Oreochromis niloticus: one gene and its partner. The protein of the gene in region 1 interacts with the protein of each later gene in a pairwise test. Links are inferred from orthologs where the notes say so. Each region holds a gene or a part of one and is shown on either strand. Other genes may lie near its edges.

Region 1 (9,297 bases):
GGAAGAAACCTCCAGCAGTACCAGGCTCAGGGAGTCGCAGCTATCTGCCGCGACCAGTTGGGTGTGAGCAGAAGAAGACGGGACAAAAGACACACTGTGGAAGAGAGCCAGAGAGTAATAATAAGTAGTTAAATGAGGAGTGGTGTGTGTGTGAAGAAGAAACACTAAGCATAACTAAGGGAGGATTCAGGATCACCCGGTCCAGCTCCATCAATCTATGGATGACAAGATTGGGATGTTTCCGCTCTAAAACATTGTAGGTTGACATGTTTTGTTACACAACTGAGCCAAGTTGTGCAATTTTGAGCCATATTATACAACAGCATGAGAGGTGCATTTTAAATGAGATCTTAATACAGATGTTAGTGGCCTGTATAGTGGACGGACTCTAATATTTAAAGCCAAAGATAATGTGGCTACTGGAAAAGTGCTGATTGAGCCTTTTTTCAGAGTCACTCTTTGAGTTTTGGGGGTTGTTTTGAGTATTTTTAAGTAGCTTAGCATGGCTGGAAAGTGACTCAGTGAGTTTGTGACTCAGTGAGTTTGATCACAAACGACGTGATCTCAACATGATGAGATCACGTCTGAGTTGATTCAAGCCTGACCTTTACTTATATTGTCATGGATCCCAGCCTGTAATTTCTTTCATTAATCCCACTAACAAACAGAAAATATAAAGAAATATTAAATATTTTCATAGCTTAAATGATCAGTATTCTTGATGACTGCTTCTAAAACACATTCTGCCCTAAAACACTGCTACTTATTTAAATAAAAGCATGTCAGTGATGAAGGTAGGGTCAAAAATAACTTCTAATTATATACACAGCAATGGAGTACTAGAAAACGTATCTATTTATTACGATTAAAACAAGTAAGATGTATCTACAAAGTGTGACACTATTTCATTATGCCCAATTAGATTTTCATGATATTGTTCATTTAAAACAAACAGGATAAGGTACTGTACTGTTCTTGATCTGCTAAAGGTCTGCAGACCAGAAGCTACTAAAGTCCGACAGGTACAGATGAACCTGGAAGCATTTTAGAGGATAATCTGAAATGCATTCTTTTAAAAAAAAATACCAAAAAGTAGAGGCACACCTTCTAACTGCTAAGCTTAAAGGTCACTGCATGTTTAAGGTTCCTGCTCATTTATTCATATGATAGGGGATTGCTTACTTTTACAATGAAGTACCTCTTATATTATCCAAACTCTTGGCTGTAACAGTACACAGGACCGCATGTAGTTTTCTTTTATAACTTATCATCACTGTGCATTTGGAGACGCCAGAGAAAAGATCTATTAGCTGGGATAACTAAGAGGACTCACTAAAAATCTAATCAGGGTCACCACCGAGCACTGGATCTTCTGTTTCTTGGAGATAATAAATGTGAATGCTGCAGCTAAATCAACTATAAATATTTGGTGTACAACTGCTGTATCTCTGTGTATGTAACTCCAGACAAAACCCCAGTATGACCTCAGCAGTACTGTTCATAGCATCACAGTATCGTAAACAGGCCTGCGTTATCATTTCGTTCTTTTGCAACATTAACACAGTGACGGCAAATCCTCTAAACTGCCCAGAGTATCACTAGTTCAGACCCGAACTATCCAGAAGTTGCATAAATGGATAAAGATCTGACCTTGCTTTTTTTTAACTACATCCTTGGCATTTAAAAATAATGTGAAGCCTAGCTGATAGTGTCTGTGTAAATTTAAGGTGGAATACCTTTTAAGTCTTGCTAAATACTGTTCTACATTAATATTTCTTCATCCCAAGCGAATCCACGGTGAATTACTGCTACCTTTAAAATTACTATTCATTCTAGGGTATGATCATACTTTTTCTGACCCAAAGACTCTCAGCTCAGTGGATCATTTAGGACAGATATGGAGATGAAGAAATGGACATTATCTGGAATTGCTCGCAGAGAGTTTTTAAATCACAGCCACTGACTGCTTGCCATCTGCGTGAATACAATATGACTTCCACCTAACTGAAATATTCATACAAGTGAACAGATGGCACCCTTTGCTCTGCTCCCTTTTCTGGTCCCCTATACACTTTCATCTTGCTTATGAGTTTGTAGACATCTTATGTGTGCGGTTATGTGCGAGCGCAGGTGTATTTCATGGCCTTGGCAGTGCATGCAGACCTTTTTTACGATTCACGCAAAGCACCGCTTACCAACGCCGAGCGAAAGAGGGGAACAGGAGTTTCACACTGTGCTCTTTAAATTGGCAGCTTTTAGCCTCAAAGGCAGCACTGTCTGGCATTCATGTTGGCCTTTCATCTCCAAGTAATCTCCACACTGCTCTTAATTTGTCAATCTTTGTTGGATTTTTACTAACAGGCGCTGCAATATTATGAGTCAGATAGTAATGGATGAAAAATTATGAATTCACTTCAATCACAAAGACATAACCCAGAACATCTCCTTAATTGATCTCATTTGAATTCACTTTTATCTAAATGGTGAGCATCTGAGCAGCCTCTGCTTGTCGCTAATGAATATGTAATCATGCTAGTTCAGCCTTTTTAGAGATTACTGATTAAAACTGAATAAAGTGGTGTGCCCACAGCATCACAAAATGACTAAAAACTTCATTTGTAGTACATCACAGAGAAAAAACACATCAACAGAAAGGAGAACTGGGTGAGACACACATAAAAAGCTAAATGACAAAATTAGTAAGAGCGCTGTTTTACATTTACATAGACTTGCAAATCACAAGAGATGGGAACTTTACTATTTGAATGTGTATATTTCTCATCCTTTTTTCCCCATTTTATTTATTTATTTATTTTTTACCTTTTTCTCATTTCTTAAAGTTGATTCCTAACTTGCAAACCCCGGAGGGGGACACTAAATGAAACAAAGAGACAAATTAGAGAGTGTGAGAGAGACATTCATTCATTTTCAGTAATGACATCTGTCTAAAATGTTTAAATATGACTCACTGATTCTGCATGAAAAGCACTGTGTGCACATCCATGTGGCTTTATATAAAAGGAAAAGAGGTGCGAGGAAGGCAGATGTCATATTGTATGAGTCAGATGAAAAGAAAAAAGAAAAAGATGAGGTATGCTTAAATGGGTCAGAAGCTTCCACTATGAGGATCCTGCTACGTTCGCTTTGACATTGAGTTTCTAATTAAAGAGTATGTAAATTTTTTTGTATAGGTCAAATGTTTTGAAAAAGTGCATCTTTAATTGCTTCGTTTGCATGGGACATTTAGACGTGACAAATATTTGGAAATAAAGTGAGGAACTCATACAGATTCATGAAGATGAGCACTCCATTAGCAGAGGACAGGGGTTTTAATTTGTAATTGAAATACCGCTAATGAGAATCAGTGGACGGAGGAATAACAATCGTGCAACAGCACAGAAATAAACAAAGGCGCTTTATTAGTGTGTGACGCTTGCCACAGTCCTCCACACAACTGTTAATTACGGTCTCTGAGTCATCCATCTGAATGTGTTCGCAGCACCTTTATAAGTCATTTCACAGTCAAACAAAGTGATAAAGTTTGTTTTCATCACGAGTGGAGAGATAATCAAACACTAAACAATCACTTTTAAATTCCCTTTTTGAACAGTGCTTGCAGGTGTGATCATTTTTTATTTAACATGCACAGCAGATTTGCAGGATATGCTGTGTATTTATGCTGACTAGACCATCACTGCAGGCAGTGCAGTGCCAAACATTTTCAAGCTCACTTCTATTTTTTATACACCCCAAAACTCTACTTGATTTTGTGGGAAAGTTTAAGAAAATCATCATCTGTTTTTATGGATTTGCATTTATTTGTAGAAAAATACATTAACTGCCAATACTAGCCATTTTGTTTCAACATCTGAAATATGTATTTTCATTAAAAGAAATGATTAGAGAAGCTTCATAGAACAGCAATTCTTAGCAAATTTGTAAAAGCGCTCAAAATTGAATTTAGGGGAGGGAAAAAAAAAAAAATTTCTCTCCTTCGAGCCGGATTCGAACCAGCGACCTAAGGATGCCTGGGAAGCCACTACAGTCCTCCGCTCTACCAACTGAGCTATCGAAGGGAGCTGACGACTACCTCCACCCCCTGTGTATTTATGAGATCGGCAGATATGGCGGACGCCCTCTTCGGTTAACATGTTTTCTGGAAATTCGCATTCGCCACTGTTTTCCACTTGAGCTAAATAGTTGTGTGTGAGAGTTTCCCCACATATTTGAAGTAACTTGGTTGCCCTCAAAGGAACTTTAACATTGCGAGCCTTTCAATAACTTAGCAGCTATTAAACCCTGTTATTATTCACATTTGTTAGAGCTAACCTAGACAGCTTAATAATGCTACCTTACCGCACTGTATTTCGGCATGATATGTGAAATATATCAAACACTACACCGTCACATTGAACCAATTACGTATCTCACGAACAATAAATACACACACAACGAACAACTTCCGTACCGGGGAATTAGCTCAAATGGTAGAGCGCTCGCTTAGCATGCGAGAGGTAGCGGGATCGATGCCCGCATTCTCCAATAACATTTTCATTTTTCCTTCAATGTAAGGCCTCGAACACGCTAACAAACACCAAAATATTTTAGCTGAATTGTTCTTTTTAAAATAGTAGCAGTTATCACCTACTTTTAAGGATGCGGTGAATACACCTAATGTTACGGTTGTCGTCCTTATGCTGTTCTCTAAGTGCAAATACCCATGTGCAAAAAATGCTTTACACATGCCATAGTTTGTTTAATGCTAGGTAAAATCACGATCACTCCTTTAACTAGGAGCTTAGCCAGCGAACCTAGGATTGTAACAAACCTCTCCTGTGCGTGGTTATCTTCCCTCTTACGTAATGGTCTCCTCCCAACTTTGACTGGAAGTCACTTTTGATAGCTTCCGGCTGCTGTCTATTGTCTAAGTTAACATTAATGCAAAGCTGGCACTTGATCGGCAACATGGTAAAAAGGTACTGAGTACTAGGTGTTTTCAGTAGAGACTGTCAGATGCTATCAATAATTTTAGATATAAAAGTCACAATCAAAGTTAGCCTATGATTGCATCACTTGCCAAATGACTTGCCCCTATCCTCTCAAACACATAGCCACATGGCACCCCGTGTAGAAGAGGCTGGGGATGGGCTGCTTTTCAGCACTGCCCTACTTAGTTTCATATATGGACAAGGCAAAAATGGCAACCTTAGACGTGACAGCAGTAGCTGCTAAAAACAGAACTGACACAGAGGAGATAGGAGTCTACACCCGCTAGGACAAACATAACAGGCCTACTACTCAGCCTGAAGCTGGGCCTATGATAGATTGCTTTTAGAAAGGACTTCATACTAAACTTTTCAGACTTTTTAAGTTGTTTAGTTGCGTGTGAAATCGTTGACACCATGGACAACTTGGAGAAACAGCTGATTTGTCCAATATGCTTGGAAATGTTTACAAAGCCTGTGGTCATCCTACCCTGCCAGCACAACCTGTGCAGAAAATGTGCCAATGATGTTTTCCAGGTAAGCTATTGAATGGCTCAAATTGGTACTTATTTATAAAGTTGGTCTGAATTTTCACATATCAAAGACCCAAATAGTGACATATAAATTTAACACCTATAGGCTCTGTTTACAAACATGTGGATTGAATGTTAATGATGGTGGTTTGAAGTTTGTGTTATGGACTGTTAATCCCCTGGATTAATATTTCATAACTGCTGAGTTAAACAATGTAATTAATTTTACTTCTGCTATCCATCAAAACCCAGTCATGCAAAATTCAGAGCTTCCCTTGTTGTCGTTTACAGGCTTCAAACCCATACCTTCCAACAAGAAGCGGCTCGTTGACCTCTGGTGGACGTTTCCGATGCCCGTCCTGCAGACACGAGGTGATTCTGGACAGGCATGGTGTTTACGGCCTGCAGAGGAACCTGTTGGTTGAGAATATCATTGACATGTTCAAACAAGAATCCAGCAGGTGAGACAGATCAGACATTTGTCAAAATAACAGAAAATGAAAAGAATTCTTCATGTCTGACAGGAGGATGTTTTTATTAGTGAAACTCGCCTTGTAGGGCAGTAAAGTATAGTAGCAGGAAGTGAAACACTAACTCTGGCTTCTGAGTCAGAGATCTGCAGTGGGTGAGAGGACGTTTGTACTTGCAGTAGTCATCCACACAGATTTTTTATCCAGCAGATGACTGAAAGGCTTGTATGACATGATATCCACAACACTTTTTGCTGTTGTGACATTATTTCATTACCATTATCCTAAGTAGAGTTTATAGGATGACAGCCTCTCATCCGAGATGCTTCTTCAGTTCTGAGACCAAAACGTAGAGAGTGCCAGGTATTTAAACCTTAATGGATTTCCCCTTAAGAGGTGATCGTTGCCCGACTAGTAGTCCTGTCCATCATCACAAGAGCCAAACTGGGAAGAAAGGAGTGGGTCATTACCACCTGAGGCTTCAGATGAAATCACTGCGAGATCTTGCGTGAGACCACATTATGTGACCCGTTGAGTTCACCTGGCGCAACGTGTGAGTGGGTGTTGAGCCGCCTGGGAAACGGATCTTGAGACTGCATTGTAGGTGGTTGACAGTTGGTGTTGTTAATGATCCGTCATCGTCTTTTAAACTGTCTCCTCGGTCTAAAATGCAAACATTCACATCCTGCAAAGATTGACATTTATCCTTTCTTAATGACTTAAAAACAAGCAAATGTAAGGTTTTGGAACGACCTACTCAAAGTCAGGACCTTAAACAGGTTGTTCGTGCTCAAAAGCCCCTTTAAATGTGTTTTAATTAAAGCAATTCTGCAAAGAAGAGCAGGCCAAAATTCCTCCACGGTGATGTGAAAGACTCATTGCCAGATATCGCCAAAAGCTTTATTGCAGTTCTTCCTGCCAAGGGTTGCACAACTAGTCATTAGGTTTAGGGGACAATTACTTTTTCACACAGGGCAGGTGCATTTGGATAGCTTTTTCACTGAAATGAAATCATTATTTAAAAACTTCATTTTTTATTATCTTTGTCTGATGGTGTGACAAATATGTATAAACTTAAGAAATAAGGAAAGGGAGAAAACTTTTAAGGTATAAAAACATGAATCATGTATGCTTGCTCCCACACTACTCAGCAATGATGATGACCTATTGATTACAGTGCTGGCAGTGCATGTGAATGGCAGGGCACACCTGATGGGTCATCGATAAGCTGTTTAGATGCCGAGATGTGTAACAGTGACATTATCAAACTGACACTGCATGTCACATCAGTATGCAAATGTGCAGCATCACGGGATACTACCGCTATTTCCATCGCACCTCAACAGCAGCAAACCAGCACCAGAGAAAAAGGAAGAAACGCCCATGTGTGATATTCACGAGGACGAAAAGATCAACATTTACTGCGTGACCCACGGTGTGCCCACGTGCTCCATGTGCAAGGTCTTTGGAGCCCACAAAGACTGCGAGGTGGCTCCTCTCAGCAGCATCTACCAGACGAAGAAGGTGAGGCCTGAGATGCTTACAAAGGCTACGGATACTGTCAGCCATGGTGATGTGTTTTTTACAGTTTCATCATGAAGTATATCATAGTGTAACCATAGATTTGCCCCAGATTTGAGTCTGTAGTCATGCTGCCATGTCCTTGCCCCCTAGACGGAGCTGAGTGACGGGATTGCCATGGTGGTTGGTAACAACGACAGGATGCAGGGCATCATTAGTCAGCTAGAGGAAGCCTGTCGTGCCATAGAGGTCAGTGTCCGACTGCTGCAGTGCCTGGCCGCTCACTCACGCAGCAAGCCTCACTCCGTGCACACACTAATGTACCTGCACAGACGACCAAACTGATGTAATGTGTCCTTGTCACGGCCACTCTTTCTGCTTTTATCCATCTGTGAGATTTAGACAGAGAGGCAGTAAGAGGAAAATAAATGTTTTGGTTCCACAGACTGCTTTAATCTCCCATTTTCATATTTTCTCCTACGCTGGGTCCACATACACTAGTTAGAGCACCCTATTCTGCCTTCGACCCACTTCCACGGACAATAAAACGAGCAGTGTAATTGATGGGGCGAGAACAGGCAGCTTTCTTATGGTTCACGTGCCACAGTTGGACGTAGTAGAGAGGAAGCTGGAGTGACTCCAGTCCCCTGTGTGTCACTGCTATAGCGTCATGCACATGGCACCAAATGAACGGAAGGCATTTTGCAGTATTTAGACATCCGAAGAATGAAAACAACAACTAGTTACCGCATTTTCTCTCATTTTGAAATTCTAATGTACTTCGAAACTGAATTGCCTACATTTCCCACCCAGAACTCATTAATAAAGAATGGACCTGCAGAATTTACAACCTTTCCCTGTGTGTGTGCGTGTTTTCTTCGCTTGTTCTCGCACGTACAGGAGAACAGTCGGAGACAGAAGACTCTGGTGTGTGAAAAGTTTGACCACCTATACTCTATCCTGGAGGAGAAAAAGAGGGAGCTGAATCAGAAGGTGACAGACGAACAGGAAGAGAAGGTGAACTATATCCGGGGCCTGACAAGTAAATATGGAGACCATCTGGAGGAGAGCTGTAAAATCTTGGAGATGGGGATCCAGGCTATGGACGAGCCAGAAATGGCTTTATTCCTGCAGGTCAGAGCTGCTACCACATGGGGTTTAAATTTGACATAATTTTAGCCAGTTCATAAAAGTTTATCAGTATTTTATGTGCATGTTCAGTTGAACTCTCCCTTGTGTCTTTCAGAACACAAAGCCTCTCCTCAAAAAGTAAGTATGCTGTTTGTTTTTCAATAATAATAATTGCACTGATAAGAGGATGAAGGGGTTTTGCAAAAAAAGAGACTACACTGCCAGTGTAAAAGTCAAAATCCTTTCTAGCTAATGTTTTTTAATCACTCTCATGAATGATTACATCTGCACTTACACATAAAACCACAACTCTAATAGAGCAAGGTCACACCTTCTCTCTGGTAGCTGTGGAAAATAATCCTGTGAAATGTTGCAAATCACTAGCTTCTGCTGTGGCATCCTGAAATAACTTGCCGAACGTGCTAAACATCACAGATTGAATATATTTAAGACGTGTTACCATGACTTTGTGAGGCAACATTTAGTCCTGTGAATATCCTAAATGAGACTTATGTGCTCAGGATTGAGGAGGCATCCAGTGCAGCGCACCTGGATAAAGTAGAGCTTGGCTACGAGAGTATGGATCATTACAAAGTCGACTTCAAGAAAGAGGGCAAGGCCCTGCGGAGCATCGACTTCATCCAAGGTGAAGGAACG
Region 2 (9,782 bases), on another chromosome or scaffold:
TAATGCCAGCTAAAGGAAGCATATAAAAAGAAAATAATAATGGACCCAAAACTGAACCCTGTGGAACCCCGCAGGTTAGTGCAGCAGTGTTAGAGGAGAACCTATCAGTCCTAACAGAAAAGGTCCTGTCTAATAAGTAGGAAGAAAACCAGTCTAAGGCGGTGCCAGATATACCAGCCAGAACCTTCAGCCTGTTGAGTAGGATTTTGTGGTCGATGGTATCGAAGGCTGCGCTAAGATCTAGCAAAATGATCACGGAACAATTTCCTGCATCAGGTGCCATTAGTAGATCATTATGGACCCTTAAGAGAGCGGTCTCCGTAGAGTGCTGCTTTTGAAAGCCAGACTGAAAAGGGTCAAAAATCTGCAATCGGCATAGTAGGACCTGAACTGGTTTTCTACAATTTTTTCTAGTAATTTACTTATAAATGGCAATCTTGAAATAGGACGATAACTACTAGGGGAGGTAAGATCTAGATTCTGTTTTTTTACCAGAGGGGTTACCTCAGCATGTTTAAAATAGGACGGAGCACAGCCTTGCCTCAGTGAATTGTTGATGATGTATAGAAGTGTGGGACCAATGCTGGTGAGAGTCCCAGACAGGACAGAGGGAGGTAATATATCTAAGGAGCATGATGAGGATTTCATTTTACCTATTACTGCAATTAAGTCTTTGAGTGTGATTGGAGAAAATGAAGTAAATGACCCGGGACAACAAGGGGCATCTTCATAAGGGGAGGCACTTGAGGAGATTTTGGATCTCAAGTCCATCACCTTATTTACAAAGTAATTGAGGAAAGTGCTGAAGTCTTCATCAGAAAGTAACACAGCATTGCTGAGTTGGAGGAGAAACAATACTGTTGATGGTATCAAATAGAATTCTTGGGTTATTTTTATGACGATTTATGAGATTATTGAAGTAAGAGGATCTGGCCTCTTTGACTGACTCATTATATAAGTGAAGAAGTTCTTTGAAGCGTTCCCGATGGGCAACCAGCCCAGTGGACTTCCAGAGACGCTCTGCTTTTCAACAGGAGCGTCGAAGACCACGGGTTTGATTATTTAACCATGGTGTCCAGCAACTAACAGTGCAATGACTAGTTTTCAAAGGAGCAACCTGATTAAGAATGGCAAGATAGTGTTCATTAAAAGAATTAATAAGGATGTCAACATCATCAGAAGGAGGTTTAAAATTAAAAAGAGAAGAAAACTTTAAATTGACAGAGTCATCAATAAAGCGCCTGCGCCTAATAAAACTTTGGGGAAGAGACTCTGAGTTGATAGATACATTAAAAAAGACTGACTTATGGTCGCTAAAAGCAACTTCATTTAAGTTCATGTGGTCAAGGGAAACACCACAGGTGAAGACCAAGTCCAGAGTATGCCCAGCTGTGTGAGTAGGACCTGATACATGCTGAACAAAATTGAAAGAGTCCATAATGCTCAGGAACTCCTTAGTGGTACTGTTTGATGAGTCCTCTGCATGAATGTTGAAGTCACCAACAATGATGACCTTGCCCAGTTTAATAGTGGAAGTTAAAAATTCTTGTAGGTCTGACAGAAAAGACGCAGCAGACCCAGGTGGACGATAAATTAAAATGCCGTATATGGGCTGTTCTCGTCCAATTTTTATCATAATCATCTCAAAAGAGTTGTAACAGCTCGAGGAGATCATCTGGCATAAAAAATGTCTTTTTAAAAATTACCGCTGTTCCACCTCCTCATCCAGATATCCGAGGTGCACAGAGAAAAGAACAGTCAGCGGGACAAAGCTCTAAAAGATGTGAGACTTCATTCTCACGCTGCCACGTCTCAGAGATAAACATAAAATCAAGCTTCTTCGTACAGAACAAGTCATTTAAGATATAAGACTTGTTGGCAATTGAGCGGGCATTAATTAACATCCATTTAACGCTGCGACCCACCGGGACAGGGGTAGAGTTTCCAGGAACAGAGTTCGTACTATGCGGTAAGCTGTGCAGCAACACAGGGTTCCTGCCGCGATGAGGCACTGCTTTCCATGCTTTCAGGTGGAAGCCTGGGTGGTAAACACAGTGGGTTGTGGGGATTAATCCAGCTCCGACAAGTCTCAGGCGGATCTTACCGCTAGCAGCCCAGGAATAAAGCCCCCGAAGATCTGCCTCTTTCCGAAGACGACAGAGCAGGACAAGAAAGCCGGCTCTCTTCCCCCACTTCCTCCGACGAGGCCTCTGAAGCAAAATAGAGCTGACCGGCAAGAGTGAAGGTAAACCGGATGCTGCGTGGCGCTCAAGCGGCGGTGGGAAAACAACGTCGTTTCGTTGACTCTGAAAGTTATCCATAGCAGATTTGATCGCCAGTAACGCATGCCGATCATAAATCTGAAGGGAGATAACACCGGACAAAACTGTAGCAAGAACACTTGCATAACATATAAAGTAAACATATAAACATATAAAGTTTAAAATGGACTGGAGCCAAGTGTGGAAACAGTCCTGTGGTCAGACAAATCAAAGTGTAATATTCTTTTTGGAAAACATGAACACAACATCCTTCAGACTAAAGAGGAGAGGGAACATCCGGCTTGTTATCAGTGCTCAGTTCAAAATCCTGCATCTCTGAGGGTGTGGTAGTGCGGTAGTGCAGCCTGCACAGTTCCATAGACACATAGGTGTTCACAGTGGCAAACATGGCCCAGTGTCCTATCACTGAGAGTATAATCTCTGGACTTGGAGCAAGCAGTCTGTACGTGGCACGTATCAGTCTGCGTCCACACACCAACGACTGCCTCGCACTTTCCAAATTTTGGTTCTTTGTCCTTTTCCCCAAAATGAAGTTAGAGTTGAAGTATTACTGCAGTGACACACTGGAGGTGATCCATCATGCGCTGCAGATGCACAAGTGCAACGGAACAGACCGGGACTTCCAGGAAAGGAGCTAAAAATAGCAGCCATGCTAGTCTCCTGTCTAAGGAGACTTCTGATAAGGAGAAATCAACTGATTTTAAACTGGGTATGATTTTTATGCAAAGTCTTCAAAGGACTCCGAGGCACTCTATTTTTAAAATGCCTTTATTCCTAAAAAAAACTCCAGTGTGTTTTAGCGCACAAGCTTTGATCAGGCAGTGAACAAAGTCCATTTAAGCACTCGATCTTCCCTAGTGGTTTTCCACAAGTGGCACGCTTCCACCTTGGGTGAGAGTGGAGTATTCCACAAGCGAGGCTCCACCAATAGGAGGAGTCAAGAAGCCTGGTCAGATGTCAACACCAAACCCAAAACATTCACCAAATTTGAACCAGACGACATAAACGCACAGCAGCACCAGCCACAAGGATTAAAACAGGATAAAAAAAATGTCCCCTCAAGAAAGTCTACTTGACCAGAGCTCCTCTGTAAACACAATAACACTGAACTGCAACAAATGTATGTCACACGACTGCACTAAAGGGACAGTCCTATGTTGCATCAAATCCTTGTGCTCTGTTGTTTCAGCACCCCATCACCAGGTGGATCACACGGAACATCTATGATTCCCCAGTGAAGGACTACGAAAAGATGATGGCTGCAGTCCAGATTGAAAAGGAAAAAGCAGACATGAGGTGGGTGTTACTGCCAGTGTGCTTCATATGCTTCACCAATAACACAAACACATGCATTTAAAATGCTTTTAGAAGATGTCTCTGCTTGGCTCATATCCACTACACGATACACTGATGCGCTACAGCTGGTGTTTAGCTGTTTATGTAGTGTAACCAAGAGTGTCATGATATTGAGTTCTACAGAGGAAAGTATCCAAGAGATTGGATTGTTTTTAACTGGCTGAGAGGTTTACAAATGTGCTTTACAGCAGACAAAGTTGTGTCGACACTGAAGAAAACTTTGGCTCATCATTACAGAAATAGGAAACAGCAGTTTGCTACCACCGCCATGGAAAAATCACTGCAAACGCTAAAGCGGTAGCTTTTCTCAAGTGTGTCCAGTCATGAAAAGCACCAGAACGTGATGCAGTAGGAGGGAGGGATCCTGAAAGGGCGTGCAGAGCAGCTGCATTCCTTGATAATAGCGTTGTTCCATTGATGTGGAAAACCTCAGCTGTTTTTTGTTTTTTTCCTCTCCCCAAAGAAAACAGGTGCAAGTGAGCCTATGAGGGAACCATCTTTGGATTTTTCAGAACATGCTCTCTGAAAAATATTATATGCAGATTGGTTATTGAAATTGCAGAGATTGGTCAGTCTTGAGGAATCAATTTAAGTGTGTGTGCTGCAGCTGTGACAAATGTAATTCTTTGTTATTTTACAAGTGTCGTACATTATTAGTCTTCCTCACTTAACTGGTTGCTCATTTCTAAAGCATGGTGTTACATTTCTCTGCCTCTTTATTCATTGTTTTGTTGTCACAGACTGACGCAGCTGGAGGTGCGTCGCCAGATGAGGCAGCAAGGAGACGGCCCCTGGTTCCAAGTGCCGACCCTTAACAAAGAGCTAATTGACAACAGCCCCAAGTCATCACCTGACCATTAATCCAGATGTTTCTGTCATCTGTACATCAATCTCACTGTTTGTACATTTTTTCCCATATTGCGTGAATAAAGTATCTATATGAACTCTGATATTCATGTTTTAGCGTCTTAATTCGGTTCATGCAGCAAACACCTTCACCATGATGATATTACAGAGTTACAGATGATCGGGGATTGGCAGCTTGTGTCAAACCCACTGACACCACCTGTCTTCAGCTTGTGTGAATACTTCTGAGCTGAAATCATCCAATAAAGCTCAAGTTGAACAGTAAATCAAATGTGCATAATATATATGTAATTAAATTTTTTTGTAAATGTATTTATTTATTTTTGGCCGGGGCCTTCATTAAGGAGTTTGCATTTTCTCTGTTGTGTGCAGTTAGTGGGGTTAATTAGTGACTCTAAAAATCTCCTGTGGTTGTCTGTCTCTGTAGCAGCCCGGCATCGAGCTGACAACCTGTCCAGGATGTACTCGGTCTGTTGATAAAGAACAAAATATATCCATCTTTAAAATGCTTAGCCAGGGCTGAGAAAGTTTCAGCCAAGTGCAATTAAAAAAAAACCAAAACTGCACCTTACATTTATTTGTACTGTAAATTCTTCCAGATCTCTAAGGAAGGCTGGATTCCTCTTGGTTTATAGTTTATATTTTCTTGCGATAACCACGAGCGTCCACCGGGTGGCAGAGCTCTGCAGACAAGACTAGCCTGGTCACGTGGACAAAGGGCTTCTTTACACACATGCAGCACTATTTAAAAGTGGACTTAAAATCACATATCAAACATATAAATAAAAATTAGTCATCTGAAGTATATTTTTTGTTTATTATTATCTATTATTATTATTATCTATTATTAAATGACATTTACTGCTCTGTCTTTTTTTTAAATAGACCAAACCGACTGCAGATTGATAAGCAGCTACTAAAAATCAAAGTGTCTTCCATAATCACGCACTTCCTGAATCCTGGAAACTGGAAACATGTTGTAGTAAATGTGGGTGGTCTTATGAATCATCCTCAGAGGTGGGAGGGGCCCTTCTCGTAAAACATCCCCGTGAGCAGGAGCAGCACAGCGGCGTCACCACAGCCAACAGTAGCAATGTAATTTCTGCGCAGGTCCAAGATTTCTCTTTTTTTTGTGGTGGGAGGCAGGAAAAAAGAATAGAAAAACAAAAGAACAACATTAGCTTTCAGCGTTGTGCCGCACCGTGCAGCAGCCTGCCTGCCTGCCTCCACCCCTCTGTCATTTTATTTTTATGTTTTTCAACGTCACATCCCCCTGGTCGCAGGAATGTAGAGACGAAGTGCTTTAAAAATAGCATCCTCTCCTGTGACAGGCGCTGCCCCGGAGGCTCCGCAGCACTGTGGTGCGAGAAGCAGGAATGCGAAGATGGCTGCAGACCTAGGAGAGCTGCTGGTCCCATACATGCCCACCATCAGGGTCCCCAGAACAGGAGACAGGGTTTTCAAGAGCGAGTGCGCCTTTTCTTTCGACTCTCCCGTAAGTGTGCCTGTCGCCCCCCCTCCTCACACACACACTCACTCAGTGAGACACGAGCGGCTTGTTTGGGGAGAGAAAGTGCGTCGTAGGCGAGCTGACAGCTTGTTTTGCACGAGCTCAGCGGCGCACGTGAATCTGCTGTAAATGCGCGTGTCTCCATGGTCACCGTCTCCGCGAGCTTGGGAGGTTAAAAAACAATTAAAGGGTGTTTACGTCTCAGGCGAAAGGGATGAAAGGAGTTTCCTTTGTGTCCACTTCACACCACCCCACTACTACTGTAGGTCCTAACGCAGGCCAGTTAGACCAATAAACGGAGCCACACACCTACACCTGCCTGAAGCTGGGCTCAAATCCTCCACCAGCAGCAGCACAGCCGTGTTCAGGAGTGAGTTTACTGCTCCACTCTTGGGTTTTTATAGTCTATAATTTGTCTGAAAATGACCTAAAGTGCGCCAGTGGTGCTTGCTGGAACTGTGTCCACGGGGATGCTTCTGTTCTCAAACAGCCAGGATTTGTAGACGTTTCAAGACCTTAATGGTGTTGTTTTGGTTTTTAGTAGCCATTATGGCGTCACATGGTGTCTCCGCGACACTGTGACTATAACGAGTCAAAAAGTGAAATATTTGATGCTTCTGCTATTGCTCTCAGCTTTTTCTGTATATATTTTAAAATGCTTATTCTGCTTTATTTTTGTCATTTTACTTTTCTTCTGTGAATAGGACAGCAGTGCCATCATGAACACGGCGGCTGTTTTACTTTACTTGAACCTTTAAGGGGTTTTATGCGCTGATGATGCAGAGTTCAGTCCTTCCTGTACGTGGACTGAACCCTGCATTTTTTATATCTGTCACAGGTACCCTTCCTACCTGTGACAGATATAAAATTTCTTTGCCCCAGTGAAATCTCGCTTTCTCGACTGAAACCGTTTTTAAAGGTGACTCAGCTGTCTGGAGTTCATCATGTTGGCCTGAGGACTGGGTTATTTTTACCCTTGCACTGTTGAGGCTCATATGTCACTCTGGGCCACTTAAAGGTTTATCACGGGGAGGTTTATTAGGCCTGGCCTGGTCGCAGATTTAGGTTAGCGTTGAAGGTATATTTTCCAAGTGTTTTGTGTTCCCATGTGAAGTGAACTGTCAAAGAAAGGAAAAGGTTGATGTTATTGTAGATTTGAAAGCATGTTTAGGTGTCTGTCACCATTCACGTGGACTTTTTTTGATAATAACAAGATGACCAAAGAATCACGTTCTTCTCTAAAAGACATGACACAAGTCAGTCTGAGCTTACGGGCTGTTGCTAAAGGTAAAAATCATTCTCCTAAGAGCTCAGACATGTTGTTAATGAAATGAGTCTGCCTGTAATGGGACGCTTTTCAGTTTCAGAAACAACAGCATAAAATTGTTGTATCATGTTGCTCGTATGAAGCCTAATATGAGAGAATAATCAGTTACTTTCCTTGAATTAAATGACCTGTCAGAGGAGGCATTTGTATTCAAACTAATGCTTGTCAGCAGCACAAATGCTGAAAGGTGGAAAGTTTTTGGTGCAAATAATAATTCTTTGAGCGAGAAAGACTTTGGAAAGTGTCAGAATCACATCTTTGTGTTTGATATTACGGTGATGAGTTTGGCAAATTGGGCAAAATAGAAGATCCTGAAATTGTTCCCACGGTAAGAAATATTTCAAATGTGCTCATAGCGTGCCAGTTGTGCTTTCTCATTGTTACTGTTTGTTTTGCTCCGCAGGAGTCTGAGGGAGGCCTGTATGTGTGTATGAACACATTCCTGGGCTTTGGTCGAGAACATGTGGAGCGACATTATCGCAAAACAGGACAGAGCGTTTACATGCACCTCAAACGGCACGTCAAAGAGGTACGTCTTCCACCTGCTCTGTGTAGTTTATCGGGTGTTGATTGTAAATACAGATTAAAGTAGAATTCAGAGCATAGAAATAATCTTTGTTTCTATAGAGCACGTTTGAATCCGTAACACATAAAGGTAATTCAGTTAATAGATATTTAATAGAATTGAACAGAGTCGAACAGAAAAGCTAAAAAAACAACTCCTGAGTAAAACCAGTGATGTGTGGAATATTTATTCATATATTTAAATGATGATTGTTAACACATAAGACCAAATTAAATCCAGACTTCTTACCCACAAAATTAATCACAACATGTCAAGTTGTAAAAGCATTTTATCCCAGATGTTTAAACTGAGACAATGTGTATGAAAAAATGTTAGTGTCTGGAAACCGAGGAGGCCAGGTGCTTGAGTTTTGGGAGAGGAACGTCGTCCCGTTCCTGTCTGATGCAGCATTCCAGTTGCTCCACAGTCCTGCGTCTGCTCTGTCATATTGTTCATTTCAATAAGTGTTTTCAGTTGGTGAAACTGGACTGCAGGCAGGTAGGCCAGTTCAGGACACAGGTTCTCCTCCCACAGAGGCATGCTGATGCAGTATAATAGATGCAAGTTAGCATCGTCTTGCTGAAATCTGCAAGGCTTTCCCTGAAAGAGACACCATCTGAATGGGAGCATATACCTTTAGTACCGATGGTGCCTTTGCAGATGTCCGAGCTGCCAGGTCCGTAGGCATCAGTGCACTCCTACACCATCGGAGATGCCAGGTTTTAAACTAAGCAGGTGTTCCTTCTCTTCTGGAGTGCACAGGATGTCCATGTGTTACAAAAAGAGTTTAGATTCGTCTGAGCACAGAACAGTTTCCACGTTGTCCATTTTAAATGTGCGTTTGCCCGGAGATGACGGCAGCGTCTCTGACTTTAACCTATGTTTGTGGATGGCGTTGTTTGTTCACAGAAAGTATTCCTGAGCCATGCAGCAATTGTCAGGACACAAGCATGCCTGTTTGTAATGCAGGGCCCAAGATTTCTCCAGGTTCTCTAAATCCTTGGATTATATTATGTATGAGGAACATTGTTGTGAAATGTTTTTCACAATTTGGACCTGCAGTCTTGTGCTGATTGGTGAATCTCTGCTGATCTTTACTTCTGAGAAACTCTGACTCTCTGAGACGCTATTTTCTTTTTACTGACGTGTTAGCAGTTAAGCTTATTGATTTCAAAAATGTTGCTGCAGCTGTTTCCTTTTGAAATGCGTACTGTTCCAGCCTTTTGCGGTTTTTGAGACATGTTGCTGCCATCAAATTGTTTGTGGGTAACACTTAAGGTTTTCAGGCCTGTTTCTCACCTCTAACTTTTCTCACTGAAGGTTTTTGTAGTTTTTGTGTGTTTGGAAAATTCCAAGAGCGGACTTGGTAATTTGCTACTAATTATGTGGAAAATTGAGGAATTTCTTTAATGGACCACTTGTAATAAAGAGATTAAAATCTATTTTTCTTAGTTTGCTGAACACGCCGTTAAAAACCCACATCATGCTGTGATGTTTTTAAGACTGGACCAATGAGAGACGTGCTTCAGTAAAACATGAGTAAAAACAATTTTTCAATTGGAAAGCCACAATATTAGTATGATTAGTGATTAGTATGATGATTAGTATGAGGAGCATTGCAAAAGTGAAGTGACTGAACCCATTTATATCACAACAGAATTTATTACTGTGGAGTTTTATTATAATGAATGATATTTTGTCCAAAGACTGTAACATTACGCGTTTGTTGAGACTGAGCCAGAGAGCTGCTGACTTAGCTGTTGAGTAATTTAAGGAAACAGTCTTTGCAAAAGTATCTGACCATCTGAACCAAAACATGCTTCACTTTTGTCTTTTTTGTGAAAACTTGATGGTGACCAACAAAGATCAGAGCTG

What was found.
Region 2: the proteins of trim55b (region 1) and usp13 interact in a two-hybrid assay, tested with the Homo sapiens proteins (2 studies listed by BioGRID and IntAct). The link is inferred for Oreochromis niloticus from reciprocal best matches to the Homo sapiens genes TRIM55 and USP13.

What each region holds. Positions count from the first base shown.
Region 1 is NC_031974.2:19,332,634-19,341,930, forward strand, and holds the start of trim55b (tripartite motif-containing protein 55b), read left to right. Parts: upstream 1-4,881; 5' UTR 4,882-5,402; coding exon 5,403-5,522; intron 5,523-5,809; coding exon 5,810-5,979; intron 5,980-7,334; coding exon 7,335-7,512; intron 7,513-7,662; coding exon 7,663-7,758; intron 7,759-8,409; coding exon 8,410-8,643; intron 8,644-8,755; coding exon 8,756-8,778; intron 8,779-9,161; coding exon 9,162-9,286; intron 9,287-9,297. UniProt on the Homo sapiens protein: E3 ubiquitin ligase that plays an important role in regulating cardiac development and contractility, muscle growth, metabolism, and fiber-type differentiation.
Region 2 is NC_031986.2:45,478,424-45,488,205, reverse strand, and holds the start of usp13 (ubiquitin carboxyl-terminal hydrolase 13), read left to right. Parts: upstream 1-5,590; 5' UTR 5,591-5,889; coding exon 5,890-6,000; intron 6,001-6,048; exon of another isoform or gene 6,049-6,385; intron 6,386-7,745; coding exon 7,746-7,871; intron 7,872-9,782. Other genes in the region: ndufb5 (NADH dehydrogenase [ubiquinone] 1 beta subcomplex subunit 5, mitochondrial), read left to right, coding at 3,472-3,578, 4,379-4,499. UniProt on the Homo sapiens protein: Deubiquitinase that mediates deubiquitination of target proteins such as BECN1, MITF, SKP2 and USP10 and is involved in various processes such as autophagy, endoplasmic reticulum-associated degradation (ERAD), cell cycle progression or DNA damage response.